3 linked regions of the Mus musculus genome follow. The protein of the gene in region 1 interacts with the protein of each later gene in a pairwise test. Links are inferred from orthologs where the notes say so. Each region holds a gene or a part of one and is shown in the gene's direction. Other genes may lie near its edges. The genes, in order: Grb7, Kctd6 and Lax1.

The links.
Region 2: the proteins of Grb7 (region 1) and Kctd6 interact in binary tests that used the Homo sapiens proteins (3 or more experiments, as listed by UniProt). The two-hybrid records come from large-scale screens. The link is inferred for Mus musculus from reciprocal best matches to the Homo sapiens genes GRB7 and KCTD6.
Region 3: the proteins of Grb7 (region 1) and Lax1 interact in binary tests that used the Homo sapiens proteins (3 or more experiments, as listed by UniProt). The two-hybrid records come from large-scale screens. The link is inferred for Mus musculus from reciprocal best matches to the Homo sapiens genes GRB7 and LAX1.

Annotation. Positions count from the first base shown.
Region 1 is NC_000077.6:98,444,875-98,449,937, forward strand, and holds the start of Grb7 (growth factor receptor-bound protein 7), read left to right. Parts: upstream 1-1,959; 5' UTR 1,960-2,375; intron 2,376-2,610; exon of another isoform or gene 2,611-2,634; intron 2,635-3,923; exon of another isoform or gene 3,924-5,063. UniProt on the Homo sapiens protein: Adapter protein that interacts with the cytoplasmic domain of numerous receptor kinases and modulates down-stream signaling. Promotes activation of down-stream protein kinases, including STAT3, AKT1, MAPK1 and/or MAPK3. Promotes activation of HRAS.
Region 2 is NC_000080.6:8,212,468-8,217,650, forward strand, and holds the start of Kctd6 (BTB/POZ domain-containing protein KCTD6), read left to right. Parts: upstream 1-1,613; 5' UTR 1,614-1,875; intron 1,876-2,034; exon of another isoform or gene 2,035-3,641; intron 3,642-3,647; exon of another isoform or gene 3,648-5,183. UniProt on the Homo sapiens protein: Probable substrate-specific adapter of a BCR (BTB-CUL3-RBX1) E3 ubiquitin-protein ligase complex mediating the ubiquitination and subsequent proteasomal degradation of target proteins.
Region 3 is NC_000067.6:133,686,973-133,692,190, reverse strand, and holds the start of Lax1 (lymphocyte transmembrane adapter 1), read left to right. Parts: upstream 1-2,082; 5' UTR 2,083-2,382; intron 2,383-3,186; 5' UTR 3,187-3,284; coding exon 3,285-3,370; intron 3,371-3,892; exon of another isoform or gene 3,893-5,218. UniProt on the Homo sapiens protein: Negatively regulates TCR (T-cell antigen receptor)-mediated signaling in T-cells and BCR (B-cell antigen receptor)-mediated signaling in B-cells.

The DNA of each region.
Region 1 (5,063 bases):
GTGGCTCACAACCATCTGTAATGGGATCTGATGCCCTCTTCTGAGGTGTCTGAAGACAGCTACAGTGTACTCACATATTATAAAGATCCTTGAAAGGAAGGAAGGAAGGAAGGAAGGAAGAAAGAAAGAAAGAAAGAAAGAAAGAAAGAAAGAAAGAAAGAAAGAAAGAAAGAAAGAAATGGAGCCAGGCATGGTGGCACATGACTGTAATAATCCCACCACTAGAGAGGCAGGAGGCAGAGGCAGGCTGATCTCTGTGAGTTCGAGAGCATCTTTGTAGGCCAGCCTGGTCTACAAAACAAGTTCCAGGACAGCCAGGGCTGTTACAGGGAAAAACCCTATCTTGAAAAACAAAAGACAGACAGACAGACAGACAGGAAGGGAGGGAGGGAAGGGGGAGAGAGAGAGAGAGAGAGAGAGAGAGAGAGAGAGAATATCACTCATTCAGCTGGAGTCTGGCTTTCCTCCAGCTCAGCCTTCTACATAGTGATCTTTTTTCAGAGTGCAGCCCTGCACTCCTGGCAGGGTCTGGCTTCTGCCCACTCCTCCTGCCAGTCTGGACAAACAGGATGGATGGCTCTCAAACCTGGTTTGCAAAACAGCCACCTGAGGGCTTGTCAATATCTCACATTCCTGGGGCTCTGCCTCCTCAGTGCTTTGAGACTCTGGTAGCTGAGGAGGGGCCCACGGGTCTGCTCTTTCCAGAGCAGCTTAAGAGACTGTGTTCCCCCCTTTTAAGAGCTGCAGTGTTTTCCCTCCACCCCTCCCGTACCTGCAAGACCTGCCCAGACTACCTGATGGCCTCCGTTCCTGTCCACCCCCACTCTCTTCTGCATTCCCTCCCAGCAGCTGCTTCTCCACACTGGGGGTCCACCATGGCAGGTTAACCCCTCTGGTTCCCACTCACTGCCAGGTCCTCCCTGGCTTTGTTTTCATGGCCTTCCCTGCCTCCTGTGAGTCACTCACCTGGCAAACTTGTCACCTGTCATTTCTTATTTGTGTGACTCTTAAAGGTCAGTCTCCCCGACTGGGTTGCAGCCAGCAAAGGGCGGGTCTGTTTTTGTTGTTTTGCTCTGTATACCCAGCGCCAAGCACAGGTCTGCTAGGTTGGAAATGAGGAAATTGTCTCCTGCAATTTGTTCAAATTGCTTCCTGGCCCAAGCAACCTGCCCCTTCCTCACCTTTTTGCTTTGCTCTATTCATACTAGTCTGTCTGATGTCTGTCTGTCTGTCGTCACTCTGTTTTTGAAACAGGGCTTCTCTGTACAGTCCTCACTGTCCATGTAGACCATGCTGGCCTCGAACTCACAGAGATCCACCTGCCCCTGCCCCTAGAGAGCTGGGATTAAAAGGCACACACTTCCACGGTGGCTTTCCACATTAGTTTTTCAAGCGGAAAAGCTAAGGGAGGCTGTGCTTCCTCAGGGCAGACCCCTTATCGCCCCAGTGGCTTGTTTGTTTTCTTAACTCTTAGCCATAGGAAGCTGGGAGGTGGCCCGCTGCCTTTGATCTGGGGACTCTCAACCCCTCTTCCTGATCCTCCAATGTTTGCTGTGAGCTGAACCAGAAAGCTGGAGTAACTGCTGTAATAGAAGCCATCTGCATCAGGCCACAACGGTCACCAGAACTGTGGCCCCTCCCACTAGGCCACCTTGCCACTCTTAAACTTGAAACTAGGAAGGTGAGACCCTGGACTTGCCTCGGAAGAGAGGGTGCACCTTGGGTATTTTAGCAGGGCCAGGACAACAGCCTGGGCGGCTGGACTGTGGTTGGAGGTCAAAGGGCAGAGCACCTCTTCTGGCTTCCCTTTTAAGCCCAGTGCCCTTTGCCCTAGGGGGTGAGATCCGAGCTGAAGACGGCCCCCTAGCTTGACCAATGAACTGACCATCATTGGAATGGGACGAGTAGGAGTGGGCGGGACCATTCGCGTTTAACAAACAGCCTCCAAACTCCCCTTCCCATGTAGTCAGGATTCTAGATTTTTCTCTGTCCAGCCTGTTCTCTCCGGGGCACCTGCTCTCTCTCTCTCTCTCCCTCTCTCCTAGCACCTGCTGCTCAGTAGGAAGGGCAAGAGCAATTCGAGGCGGTGCATTGTGAGGAGTCTCCACCCCTCCTCCTGCGCTTCCTTCTCCAGGGAGCCTCTCAGGCTCCGCCCTTACCTGCCCGAGATAATTTTAGTTTCCCTGGGCCTGGAATCTGGATACGCAGGGCTCGCTCTATATTCTCCCGCCTCAACATTCCAAAGGCGGGATAGCCTTTCTACCATCTGTAGAGAAGAGAGAAAGGATTCGAAATCAAATCTAAGTGTCTGGGATCTCTAGACAGAGCCAGACTTTGGGCCGGGTGTCCGGCTCCTTCTGTTGGAGGTGCTCCAGGTAAGCCGACCGAGATCGGTCTTAGATAATCTGCTCCTACCCCCAGCCTCACCGAGGGCCCCAGGTTGTGCCTGCATCGAGCGGATCTGGCCTGCTGCCCAGTTAGATGGCCGGGAGGCTGCCACGCTCTCCCCCCTGACCGCCCTCTCTCGGCGAGGTCAGGCCAGAGGCGGGGGGTGGGGGTGGGGGTGGGGGAGAAGGGGGGTGGGTGATAGTTAAGGCCTGGAATCTTCCTCCCTAAACCGGTGGCCTCAGGCAGGTGAGCTATGGTCTGGGTAAAGGCGGAAGCGGGAACTTCATCTTGGGGGATGGGATGGGATGGGATGGGATGCAAGTTAGGTCTGGGTCCCTAAGGAAAGAGTCACACTCCTGATGCTCTCTGCGCTGCATTGTTTGTTTTGTTTGTTGCTTGGCATCACCAATCCTTCCCCTTCCTCATCTTGCTCCCTGAGACCCGAGGTAAGGTCTCTCCATCACCTGAAATCTTGACTTTCCGGCTAAAACTAGTTCTTACCCAACACCAGTTAGTAGGGGGTGCTAGATCCGGAGGTTGCCCTTCAATACCTTATTGAGCTCAGTTTACTACAATCTGGGGTTCCCATTCGGAGGGGAGTAAGGGAGAGCGACTCCCGCAATGGTTGGAACTGCATCTCTCCACGTTGTGGTCCCATCTCCGATACGGAAGCTCAGCAGGCTGCGGATCCCTCCTGGCTGCAAATGAGTGTGGACAAAGAAAGCTAGAGGGGTGGGTGTAGTGTGAAGGTCTGCAGTTCGGGGCCTGGAAAACAGTGTATGGCCGGGTATGTGGGCCTGCCTGAGGCTGAAGTTGGGGGAAAGACCTAGTTAGGTCTGGGTTTTCATGGTAGGATGGAGACAGAGTGCATCTGAGGGACAGCTGATAGTATTTTCAACCTTTTCTCCCTCTTTTCCCCCCAAGAATGCAATGCCTTCTGGGTCATGAGTCTGTCTAGCTTGGACTCTGCTCTCCCCCAATAGCGCGTGCTAATGTGTGTGTGTGTGTGTGTGTGTGTGTGTGTGTTTGTGTTCTCCCCGAAGGCAAACTAATGATTAACTCTACAGAGAACTCTAGCATTCTTCCCAAATTAAACATTAAAAGAGTTGTCCCGCCCGCTTTATTTCATTGGATGTTCCCACCCCCCCCCCAACCCCGGCGGAATGGGTGGAGCATCAACTTTGGGTCAACTCAGGGTTTCCTACCTCCCCACCTGCTCCCGGTACCCGGAAAGGTTAAGCCCCCCCCCCCCCCCACTTCCCTCCCCAAGTCCTGATGGGTGTTAGCTTCCTGTGCTGGTCCAGAGCCGGATCTCAGGCTGCCCAGGCCAGCAGCTCAGTGTCTGCCCCACGAACCCTTCGCCTCATCTTGGGAAGAGGAGATGGTGGCCTTGTTTGCAGTTGGCCCCAAACATTAGGCCTTGCCACTCGCCCCTGGGGCTTTCTAGGTGGGGCAAGATTCAGGAAGTAAACAAGGCAGCAGGGAGGGTAGGAGAGAGGGTGGGGCAGGAGCTGCTGGGGCTGGAGAGCCAGAGTTTGGAGTGGCCTAGCTGAGAGGACAAATTGGTTGGGGGACCAGTTTCTCCAACGGAACCTTTGCTTAGGCCCTAGTTTGAATGTTTTCCATCTTTTGGGCAGGCCCCACAGCAGGCTCCCCTGCCTCATCTCAAATTTTAGTTACTCTACCGTCCCCTAGAGCTGTCCATCTTAAGGGTGTGGTGGAGGGATCTGGAAGCTAACCCTAGTTTAGCCTGCACCTGAGCTTCTAACATCAGACTGTAATCTGACTTCAATCTACTTCCTCCCGTTTCAAACACCTGTCTAACTGGGTGTTGTTTTCTCCATTTGAGGGAGGGGCACCCTTGCTGATGCTCCCACCTCTGCTTGAAAAAGGAGATTAGGTGAGTGGGAGTGGGTGCCCGGTGTTGATGTTCCTTGCTTGGTGTCTTGAGGATGCTAAGTGTCAGATGGGTCTTGCTTGCTCTTCTTGGCTGTCCTGGGGGGTGCTTTGCTGCCTGCCTGCCTGTCTTCTTGGGTGTTTTAACTCCACTTCTGCCTGGTGATACCCCTCAGGTCAGGACACCCCAGAGTGTGTTTAGAGACCCTCTCCCACAGAGCAATCCCTGGGACTAGATATACAATCACCATCATATATCTTGGGATAGTTAACAGCAAACAGAGTTGTAGGTTCCAGACCCAGGCCAGGCAGGGCTGGATGCTGCTTGTCTATCACCAGGAGGTGGGCTCCAATCCTGATAGGCTCCTGGATCCAGGCCGGGCGTTTCTTCTCTCCTTCCTGGGCTATGGGCAGGGAGATGGTTCAGGACTAGAGGTGGGTAGATGATTATTCCCACCTGAGCTGGACACTGGCCAAGGGTGGGGAGGGTGACCTCAGAGGAGCCTCAGGCTGCCCCTCCTCACATCTTCATCTCTACCCAGCCCGCACCCCTTACTCCCAGGCTACCTGTAGGTTGGGAAGTCAGGGATGGAAGGCAGAGGCAGGTTGTTTGTGCTCCTTCTTAGCCAGGAAGTCCTGTGGATGAGTCAAGGTTGAATGGAGAGCCTGGGGCATAGCTGTCCCGCCCCGCCTTGACTCACCTGTCCCCCAGATCCCTTCATGCCCTCATGGAAGGGTCAACCCTGGTGGAGGGAACCCTGGGTGTCCTGGGTAGCCTC
Region 2 (5,183 bases), on another chromosome or scaffold:
CAACATTGGGGTCCTGTATGTATGATTTTGTGTCCTGATTTGCAGGAGCATATTCCCATATTCTTTTTAAAAAGATTTATTTATTATTATACATAAGTACACTTTAGCTGACTTCAGACATACCGGAAGAGGGCATCAGATCCCATTACAGATGGTTGTGAGCCACCATGTGGTTTCTGGGATTTGAACTCAGGACCTTCGGAAGAGCAGTCAGTGCTCTTACCCGCTGAGCCATTTCTCCAGCCCTATTCCCATATTCTTAATTAGTTTGTATCCTTGCTTAGATGTCAATGTAGCCGTCCATTGTGTTGAAGTCCACATTGCTTATTTAACCTATCAATTTGATTTTTGGAGAAAAAATAGAATATTAGATGATGATCATACATATAAAAACTAGATTTCAGAACCACCTCACAAACATGCAGATGTGTAAACCAGGTAAGTTTCTGTTTTGTTCTTTTGAGAAAGGGTCTCGTTATGTAGCCTCATCTGTCCTAGAGACTAGCTATGTGGGCCAGGCTAACCTAGAGCTCACAAGAGACCCACATGCCACTGCCTCTAAGTGCTGGCATTAAGGATGTGCACTACTTTTACTATGCCTGGCCCAGGTGAGTTTCTAAGGCCAGTGGCTTTTCACCCATGTAGAAGTGGATTGAGATCTGGCTAGCTAGAAGTGGTGGCTTTTGCATCTTGTCTATGCATGGAATCCAATTAGCCCTGCAGCCTTGATGTCCTTCCTGAAGGGACATTACCCTTGCCAGTCCCATCCAGACTAAGATCCTCAGAGGTATTACACAGGATGACGTTAGTTAGCTCTGCCCTTCTAACTGGCTGCTCTTCTCTGCCTAAAAGGCTGGATCGGTGGTCCCTCTAAGCCATTACTTTACAGAATGGCCTGCCTTAATATATAAGGCCAGGAGTCTTATATATTAATACATTAATAATATTAACTACATTATTATGTATATATTAATATAATATAATTACATCAATATTAATAACATTAAATGTATACTAATATTTTATATATATCAGATCGTCACATCTTCCCTTATTCTCCAAGGCAGCCTTCTTTTTTTTGTTGTTGTTTTTTCAAGACAGGGTTTCTCTGTGTAGCCTTGGCTGTCCTGGAACTCACTTTGTAGACCAGGCTGGCCTCGAACTCAGAAATCCACCTGCCTCTGCCTCCGGAGTTCTGGCGTATGCCACCAAGCCCGGCCAAGGCAGCCTTCTTATTGGACCGCTCTCACCAGGATTCGAACTTGTCTTGTGTGTGTCTACTGGCTGCTTTTTTGAGTCTTGAGACGCGCCTCGGTCTGGGTGGCTGCTCTTCTCTCTAAGCCCTGCATGCGATGAGGTCTATCGACTTAGTGAAAACAGCTGAGGAGAAACAGTTGCGGAGAAGGAGTCCTGGGCAAGCAGGGAAGAGACTGCTGGCGGCCAGGAGGAGAGGCTGAAAGCGGAGGGGGAGTTAGGGGCGTGGCCTGGGCGGAGCTCCGCGCGGGAGTCCTGGGCGGGGCGGGGATAGGAACGGGACGGAGGCGGGGCTTCGGGACTGCTGCAGAGCCCGCCTGACCACGCCGCCCCGGCAGCGCCCAGAGTGCCCGCGGCGATCCGGCTTCCCGGCCTTCGCCCCGCGCCGCCGATAGGGGGCGTCCGCGTTCTCGGCGCCGCGACTCTGCTGAGAAGGCGCCGCCCGCGCCGGGCAGCTGGAGCCGCAACTCCGGGCTCCGGCTCACTCGTCCCCTCTGCCGCCGCCGCCGCCGCCGCCGCCACCGCCGCCGCTGCCGCCGCGGGGCGCGGGCTCGCTCGTCCCCGCGCTCGCGCTCTCGGGCCGCCGGCGTCTCCCGGCCGGGTCGCCTCCGCGCTCGTGCAGTGAGTGGGGCGCGAGCGGGGCCTGCGGGCCGGGGCTGCGGGAAGTCGGGCTGAGGAGAACGGCGGGTGGCGGCCGCGCGTCCCCGGGCTGGCACGAGCCCGCGGCGGGGCCTGGGCGGGGAAATCGGGGACGCGCGGCCGCCTCGGGCTTTGGGCTCCGGCTCGGGTTCGGGGCTCGGTGCGCGTGGCCGGCCGGGCTTGGCTTGCGGGAGACCGCGGAGTAGGGACCAGCGGGCTCTGCGGGGCAAAGGGTTGGTGTTTTGGGGAGTGGTGTTTATTAGCCGCCACTGCCCTAGTTTAAAGCTCTGCTTTTTGGGTTTTGTGCACAAATTGCAGCTTTTTACCGGAATTTTGGGATGTCACGGCGATTTAGTGCTGGGTGTTAAGAGGTGATCCTTGGCGAGGTCGTGGGGAGCCCCTGCAGCACCTGCTGGGCGATGGCAGCGGAGGCTGTGTCTGGGGGTGGGACGGGGAAACGAAACGTGACTGAGATCCTGTTTGGATATTCTGCTGAAGTTGTCATGTTTCTGTTCTGTACACCAGTACATACAGCAAGTTGATAAACCTGGTTTCAGGATTTCGTGATGCAGACAAATAGACCGATGTGACCTGGTTTAGCTAAGAATGTCTGGGATAGCCCAAACAACCTGCTCCAATGTACCCCCCTTGGCAGGCTCATCTTTTTCGCTGTTGCAGATATTCTAGTATGGGAATAATGGTGGGGTATTACAGGCCCAAAGCCAGAAGTGTTTCAAAAGAGTAAAGATCTAAGTAGGTAGGGTGGGAGAATCACCCTTTGGATGAAAACCAGGAGCCCACACGGATTCTTAGTTTTTTGTAATACCGTAGGTAGAAAGATGGCCATAGAATTTGAAAATTTTTAAAGTGTATTTTAGCTGAAGCAATAGCGTGGAAAGCAGTCTTATGGTCACTCCTATGATCCATCGTCGCATCCTGGATTTTAATAGTTGGGGTCTATTTTAAACGGAACACGTATGTGTGTCTTCTGCTTTATCTTGAGACAACCCTGAGTCATGCTTTCTAGAAGTCCCGAGAGCTCACGTGTCTGTTTGTCTCTGCGAACGCTGGACATCATTTTACCTTTAGTTTTTCTCACGGCAACTGCGGTGGGATCTCCGGGAAAGGAGGGCCAGGGACGGGACAGAGTGGGAACACAGATTGGTCCTAACCTGCATGTTCGCCCACCGTGTCTGACTTACCTATTTAAATTTTGGTGATGCTGCGAGTAGTAAAGGGCGGTCTACTCAGGTTCTCACAGCCCTCTGCTGGCATGCTGCACGTGAATCCAGAGCGCCACTCCTCACTGCCCTGTCGGCCAGTTTTACCTCCATTGTGTTTAAACGGTGTGGTTACTTTTGGGAAGGTCATAATACCCATTTTGGTGGAAACTGAGGGAAAGTAGAATTTTATGATTTGTGACTCTGACAGCACTTAAGCTGGAGAGTATATATTCTTCTGGTTTGATACTGTCAGAAGATTCATAATTTCTTGTAGGACTTTCTCCCTTTTTGCCTACATTTCCTTTCTTCTAGCCCACGAGGTTGAGAGAGGGGTTTAGTTAGTGGTAATTTAGCTTTATAATCCCATTATCCTTGTGCGCTCGCTACTTGTGCTGGCCTGTATGTGGATGTTAACTCCGAAGACGCCAGGAGATGCCACTGAACCAATTACTATAAAAAGTATTTCACTTTCAAACTCCCACGTTCCCAAGAACAGAGAAACTCAGTACAAAGGCAGCTTGGAAGGTAAGTATAGGTGGAGAGAGAAAATTTACCGGTCTTCATTTTGGGATGGCAGACACAAAGGTTTCAGTAGAAAAGCACTTGGAAGGGCTACCCAGAAAGCGTGGGAAGGCAGTGACTACAGTTGTATCATTACATTTTCTAATCCGAGGTTAGCATTACGGCATATAGACTGTTACAGGGGAGGAGGACTTTTGCTCTGGAGCGTCTTACTCAATAGCAGAAGTAAGTCTAGAATGTTTGTGCTGTCTTATCATAACCCCCACTGTAGCTTTGCTGTGGTAAGGAGGGTTCTCACAGGTTAAGTTGTTAACTTCCTGGAGTGTGCATTCTTCAGATTTGCTAGGGTCAGTAAATTAGTAACTTCTTTTCAGGCTTCTAGAAATTCTTCAGAATATGTTTTTCTTAACTACCTGCTAACATACTATCAGATTTTACACATTAGTTACAATGACCTTTGAAGTTCAAGCAAGCATGATAGTCTTTAGGACCATAATTTTTTTTTTTTTTTGAATCAAAGGTCAGGTATTTTCAGGTAAACCGATTTTACAAGTCAGAAAGCCTTTCTTTGAACTTTATAGTCGTTGGTTGTAGCCATGACTCTAAGAAAGATCTTTCGTAAGGGAAAGTCACTTAAAGGAATCTTATGAGGAAACATTTCACCTTGGCCTGCTTGATGCCCCCTTGGAGGCCTTCTGTCGCCTGGCTTGTTCTCATTAAGCCCTCCACTGGAGGAGGTTGTGCCGGATGGGAGAGAAGATGAAAGGGAAATGAATTGTTAGCGTCCCTGGAGAACGATGAGGTGGAAGAAGCTGAAGCTACTTCTGGGTTGTGTTTATTGTATCCACCCCTGAGATGTTCTTGGCAGGCATCAGTTCAGAGTCCGGCTGTTGGATAGGCTAGAATCTTGCCCCTCTTGTCTCTCTAGTTGCGTCTCTGTTTATGTTTACAAGGAACACATACCAATTTTAAATCAATCAAGACTACTCCCATTTTGACTTTATTGGTGATCAATTTAGTACAATATTTTAAATAGATTTTGCTAGCTTATATTGGAAGTGACTAGTATTTTATTTTGATGTATTTTATGTATAACTATAAGGTCTTGAAGTGCTTTTTAAGAAACCTGGGCTTGTCCAGGAGGTAGTGGCACATGCCTTTAATTCCAGCATTCCAGGAGGCAGAGGCAGATAAATCTCTGAGTTCTGAGTTCAAGGTTAGCTTGGTCTACAGAGCGAGTTTCAGGACAGTTAAGGCTATACAGAGAAACCCTGTCCCCTTTTCCCCACTCCCCCGCCCCCCAAAAAAAGAAGAAAGGAAGGAATCTGGGCTTGGATCATGGAGCTAACTCCTTAGTAAAGATGTACGTCATTGCCTGTGCATCCCACTAGCCCCCAGCCATATATATTCACATACATATACACATTCCCATGACTGCTGTCCTAGATTAGTAAGCTTGAGCTTTGTTATATGTGTGTAGCCAGACCTTGGCTTTTGCTGTAGAAGAGATTCAGAAACATCTAACTTTTTTGATTGTTTGTGTGG
Region 3 (5,218 bases), on another chromosome or scaffold:
GCCCTGGCTGTCCTGGAACTCACTCTGTAGACGAGGCTGGCTTCGAACTCAGAGATCCTTTTGCCTCTGCCTCCCACCACTACCAGGTTAGAGGAATAATAGTTTGTTTTTTGTTTTTGTTTGTTTGTTTGTTTGTTTGTTTTGTTTTTGTTTTTTTGAGAGAGGGTTTCTCTGTACAGCCTTGGCTGTCCTGGAACTCACTTTGTAGACCAGGCTGGCCTCGAACTCAGAGATCCTCTTGCCTCTGCCTCCCACCACTACCAGGTTAAAGGAATACTAGTTTTTCTTCAAACCTGATCCCAAGGAAATGTAGGCAGAGACCTAGGTCCCAGCCCCCAGACTATCTGTCTCTAGCTAAGCAGGCTCCCCAGAGCCTGGCGTGGCGGGATTTCCTGCACAGTACTCTGGGCCTTGGGAGAACTGGAACAAGTAGGTTGTGTCCAGGCTCTGGAAGCCAAGAACTCCAGCGTGCACCTGAAAGAGGTCCCAGCGAGGCAGAATGGCAAAGGCACGGAGGCCACCCCTTCCAGTTACCTGGAGCTCCACCTGGTTTGGCAAGTGTCGTGAGAGAGGCTCCCTGCATCCTCTATACACTCGTGGTGGTTCTGGCTGACTCGCCAGGAGGGTTGGTTTCCCGACACACGTGAAGCGAAAGGGAAGGGATTTTAGAAACAAACTCGAAACTTTCTCCCAAGCTTGGGAGCTTGAGGTAAATGCTGGCGAGAAACCCAGCAGTACCTGAAATGAGAGGTTACCCAGGACTGGGACTGGCTGCAGCAGAGCCAGGCCAGCAACAGATAGCCCCTCACCAGAAGCCCTGAGGAAGAAACAGTGGCCAACGGCCCTGTAACCCGGGCTCGGTTCCATTCCCACTATGATACCGGAACAGAGGCTCTGAGAGTATGAAACTCAGCTCACCTCTGGCATTATCACCTGCAGAAGATCTATTTATGAAGCCAGTCCACCCACGGAACCACAAGCGGGTGCCAGCTCTGTACAGCTCTCTAAACAACTAATTCTAGCTCTTTTGAGATCTGCTAAGAACCATTCTAAGGCCAGCATTGGTGGTACACTTTTTCAATCCCAGCCCTTAGGAGACAGAGGCTGGAGGACCTCTGAGAGTTTGAGGTCAGCCAGCCTGGCCTGTGTAGTGAAATACAGAACAGGGCAGTGGTGGCACACGCCTTTAATCCCAGCACTCAGGAGGTAGAGGCAGTCGGGTTTCTGAGTTCGAGGCCAGCCTGGTCTACAAAGTATGTTCCAGGCCAGCCAGGGCTATACAGAGAAACCCTGTCTCGAAAAACCAAAAAGAGAGGGGGGGGGAGGGAGGGAGGGAGGGAGGGAGGGAGGGAGGAAGGGAGGGAGGGAGGGAGGGAGGAAGAAAGAAAGAAAGAAAGAAAGAAAGAAAGAAAGAAAGAAAGAAAGAAAGAAAGAAAGAAAGAAAGAAAGAAAGAAAGAAAGAAAAGCCATGGATGTGTAGAGAAACCCTGTCTTGGGTTGGGAGCAGGGGTAAGAACCATTCTGAGCCCTGAGCCTGATTCACACCTGTAAGCACATCACCAGGGACATTAAGACAAGAAGCTACTATGAGTTCAGTCAACTTGACCTCTGAAGGGAGATCTGCCTCACAAAAACAAAAAACAAAAAAAACATAGTGTGCAAGATGGTTCATTGGATACAAACACTTGCCTCTGTCCAACACCCTAGTTTGACTCTTGAGACCAACACAGTAAGTAGGAAAGAACACACTCCCTCCAGTGTTCTCTGACCCCCACTCATGTGGCACGGCATGTGTGCAGACACAGTAAATAGATGTGAAAAGCATAAATAAGTAAAGATAACCAATGACAATAGCTACGCAAGCACATTGTCTTGAACCTTCGAATTTTGACCCTAGAGGTTTTTAACACTCAGAAAAACAGGGTGAATAGTCATGTCTCTGACTCTTCAACCACATGGGCCCCAGATGCCAGAGTGCCTGTGGGGAACAGGAGGGCTGAAGGTGGGTTTCCTGCTGTCTGGGTTGAGCGGAGCATTTCCTGTGCCCTGGCCTTATTAGCACACCGGTGGAGGGTGCTTCCTGTCAGCGACTTTCCATTCTGCCAGAGTGGTTTGCTGTTTTCACACTGCCCTGGGGGTTGGAGGAAGAAGATTTTCTCACGAAAACGCTGGGCCTCTTGACAGTCGCCTCCCTACTCCCCCACAGGCCCCTCATGTTTCCATCAACTGGCAGAAACTAGAGAGTGGCCCTACTGCTTCACACTGGGAGCACAGACAGCTGGGTGAGAAAGAGCACGGCTCCTGCAGTGGGCATTGTGGCCACCTCCAGTAGACCAACTCTGATGAACCTTCTACCAACTCAGCCTGGAATTTCAGGTGAAGGTAGGGAGGTTTGGGTCTTATTACTATTGTTGTTGCTGTTAGTAGTAGTAGTGGTGGTACAGCCGTTCTGTGTGTGTGTGTGTGTGTGTGTGTGTGTGTGTGTGTGTGTGTGTCTCGGAAGATCAGAAGATAATTTGTAGGAACCGGTTCTTGCCTTCCACTATGCATGCAGAGGGTAAACTTGGGTCATTAAACTGGCAGTAAGTACCTTTACCTGCAGAGCCATCGCACCAGCCCAAAGAAGGCAGTTTGTTGGGAGAACATTCTAGAACAGAAGATTAAAAGCTTCAGAAAGAAACAAAAACTAAAAACCAGTTTTGTATGTGAGAACCTTGGTGAATATGATCTAGGAAGAATGACTGGGAGGTGGCTGCATTGCATGAGGTACTCGAAGCCCTGGGGTTCCAGCTCCAGAACCACCTTCATGAGTGCGGTGGTGCACACCTGGAAATCCCAGTGCTGAGGGAGCAGAGGCAGAGGATCAGAGTTCAAGATCCTACACCCCCCATATATGTATATGTATATGTATATGTATATGTATATGTATATGTATATGTATATGTATATGTATATGTATATGTATGTGTATATATGTGTATATATATATATACATATATATATATGTATATATATATATATCATCTTGGGTACTTAAATAAGAAATTTCAATAGTACAAAATGATACAATTTGGAATACATAGGGATTTGGAGAATTTTCTGTCATTCTATTATCTACTTTTTTTTTAAAAGGTGATTATATGCAAAATGCATACCAGTTTACCCTTTTTCCCCTCTATGAATCAGCAACTTAGAAAGAGCTAAGAAAAGTGGAAGCCATACTGGCTAGTCAGTCACGACACTGAAAAGGCTTAGAAGCTGCAAAGCCCCTCAGAGGTCCAGTGATGTACAGCACCCCGGCCCCTCCAGAGGTCACAAGAAGGAACTCAGAGCCCAGCACTCGGCAGGGGACTCTTGGCAGCCTGCAGGGGTGAGTGCTTTGGGAAAGTGAGCCCCAGGGTCCCCTGATCTCCTACAGGAATGGTCTATTTCCAACCCAGACCTGGGTCCACCAAGATGAGCAAACTTGGGGAGCTAAGAGCTGTTTCCCCGAGGGATGCTGGGAGGGAAGAAAAGAGATACTGGGGTTGAGGGGAGAGGGACGGACTGACTGAGAGGTGAATTTCTGAGGGGATCTTCTTCCACTCAGAGGTCCTGACCTCTGCCCTTGAGATTTCCAACCTCTTGGCCTAATCCCTGCAATGAGTTTTTAGATCCTAAAGCCCTTGTCATGAGTGAGAAATGTAACTGCAGACGTCATAAAGTTTTAGGACCTTACAGAGCTAGTCACGGATGTCAACGTGCTCCGGAAGTTTTCAATCTCAAATACACAAAAGGAAAGCATCTGTTGATAGGGCGCTGAGATTTTAGAAACATTAGAATGGGTAAATTCCAGCTCTTCCATCAAAGTAAAAACCCAATGACAGTGTATTCTGTTCCTGAATTGCTGTAGTTTCAGGAAAAGTCAGCGTGATGACCAGAGTAAATCAGTGTCACGAGCAGGTCAAACACAAACGAAGAGGACCAAGTTCCTATCCATCGCTGAAGCCTGGAGCACCCTCTTAAAATGAGTTCCCTCTTTATTATATCTGGGGGGAGTAGAATGGTGTAGAGGTCAGAGGGCAATTTACAGAAGTCAGTTTCATCATATGGGTGTCAGGGATCAAACTTAGCGTGTTGGGCTTGGCTGCAGGTGCCTTTACACACTGAGCCCTCTCACTGACCCCTTAAAACTATTTCTTTTTTAAGTTGACATTTGCTTTATTGTTGTTTTCTCTTTCTTTTTCACTTGGTAGTCAGTAAATAAAATCTGTACTTATGTATTATGTTTAGCACATAGTTTTGCAATACATGTGTATTATGGATGGCTAAATACCGTATGTATTACGTGACATATCCTTTTATGAGAGGATGCTTCAAATAACACTTTTAAGCAATGTTCAAGAATCCATTACTTTCAGCATTGCCATGTTGAACTTCTTCCTTCTACCTGACCTTTGGCACCTCTGGGAACCCTCCCTTACCACCTCTGGTGACCTCCATTCTATTCTCTGAGTCTCTGAGTTCAATCTATTTAGTCTCTGCATATAAGCAAGACGGAGCAGGACCTATCTGTTCCTGGGTTCTTTCACTTAATGCTAGGTCCTCTGGGTCCATCCACCATGTCGCAAATGACAAGATCGTCTTCCCTTTTAAAGCTCAGTGATATCTTTTGCATGTGTATTCCGAATTCTCTCTATCCACTTATCTGTTGATAGACACGCGGGTTAATTCTGCATCTTGGCTATGGTGACTTTTGCTGCAAAGATTATGACAGTACAAACATCTCTAATAAACACGGGAGTACAGACACAGTTTTCATTTGCTTTGAATAAAGTTCTTGTAGTGGGACTGACAGAGCATATGGCGATTCTATTTTTAATTTTTTGGGATAATTGCCATAAGTCATTTTCTACCATGACTGTGTTATTCTCAAAACTACTTCTGTGTTCATTTGTTTATTATTTCATTCACTTATCACTGAACAAATATTCATGAAGCGCTTACCGTGTGGCTTGAGATGCTGAGTGAACAGAATAGGCAAGACCGTGACTCCCTGAGGCTCAGTCAGCGGCAGCGCTTGATAGCAGACATAACCAAATAAATGTATACTCTCAATCAGCCGTAAGTGCTTTGAAGAAGAAACCGAACTGAGTAAGAAAGCTGTGAGTGGTGGATGTGACTGGGGAGGGTCTCTCGAAGGAGGAGAAGACACCTGAGACTTAATGAAATGAGGGGC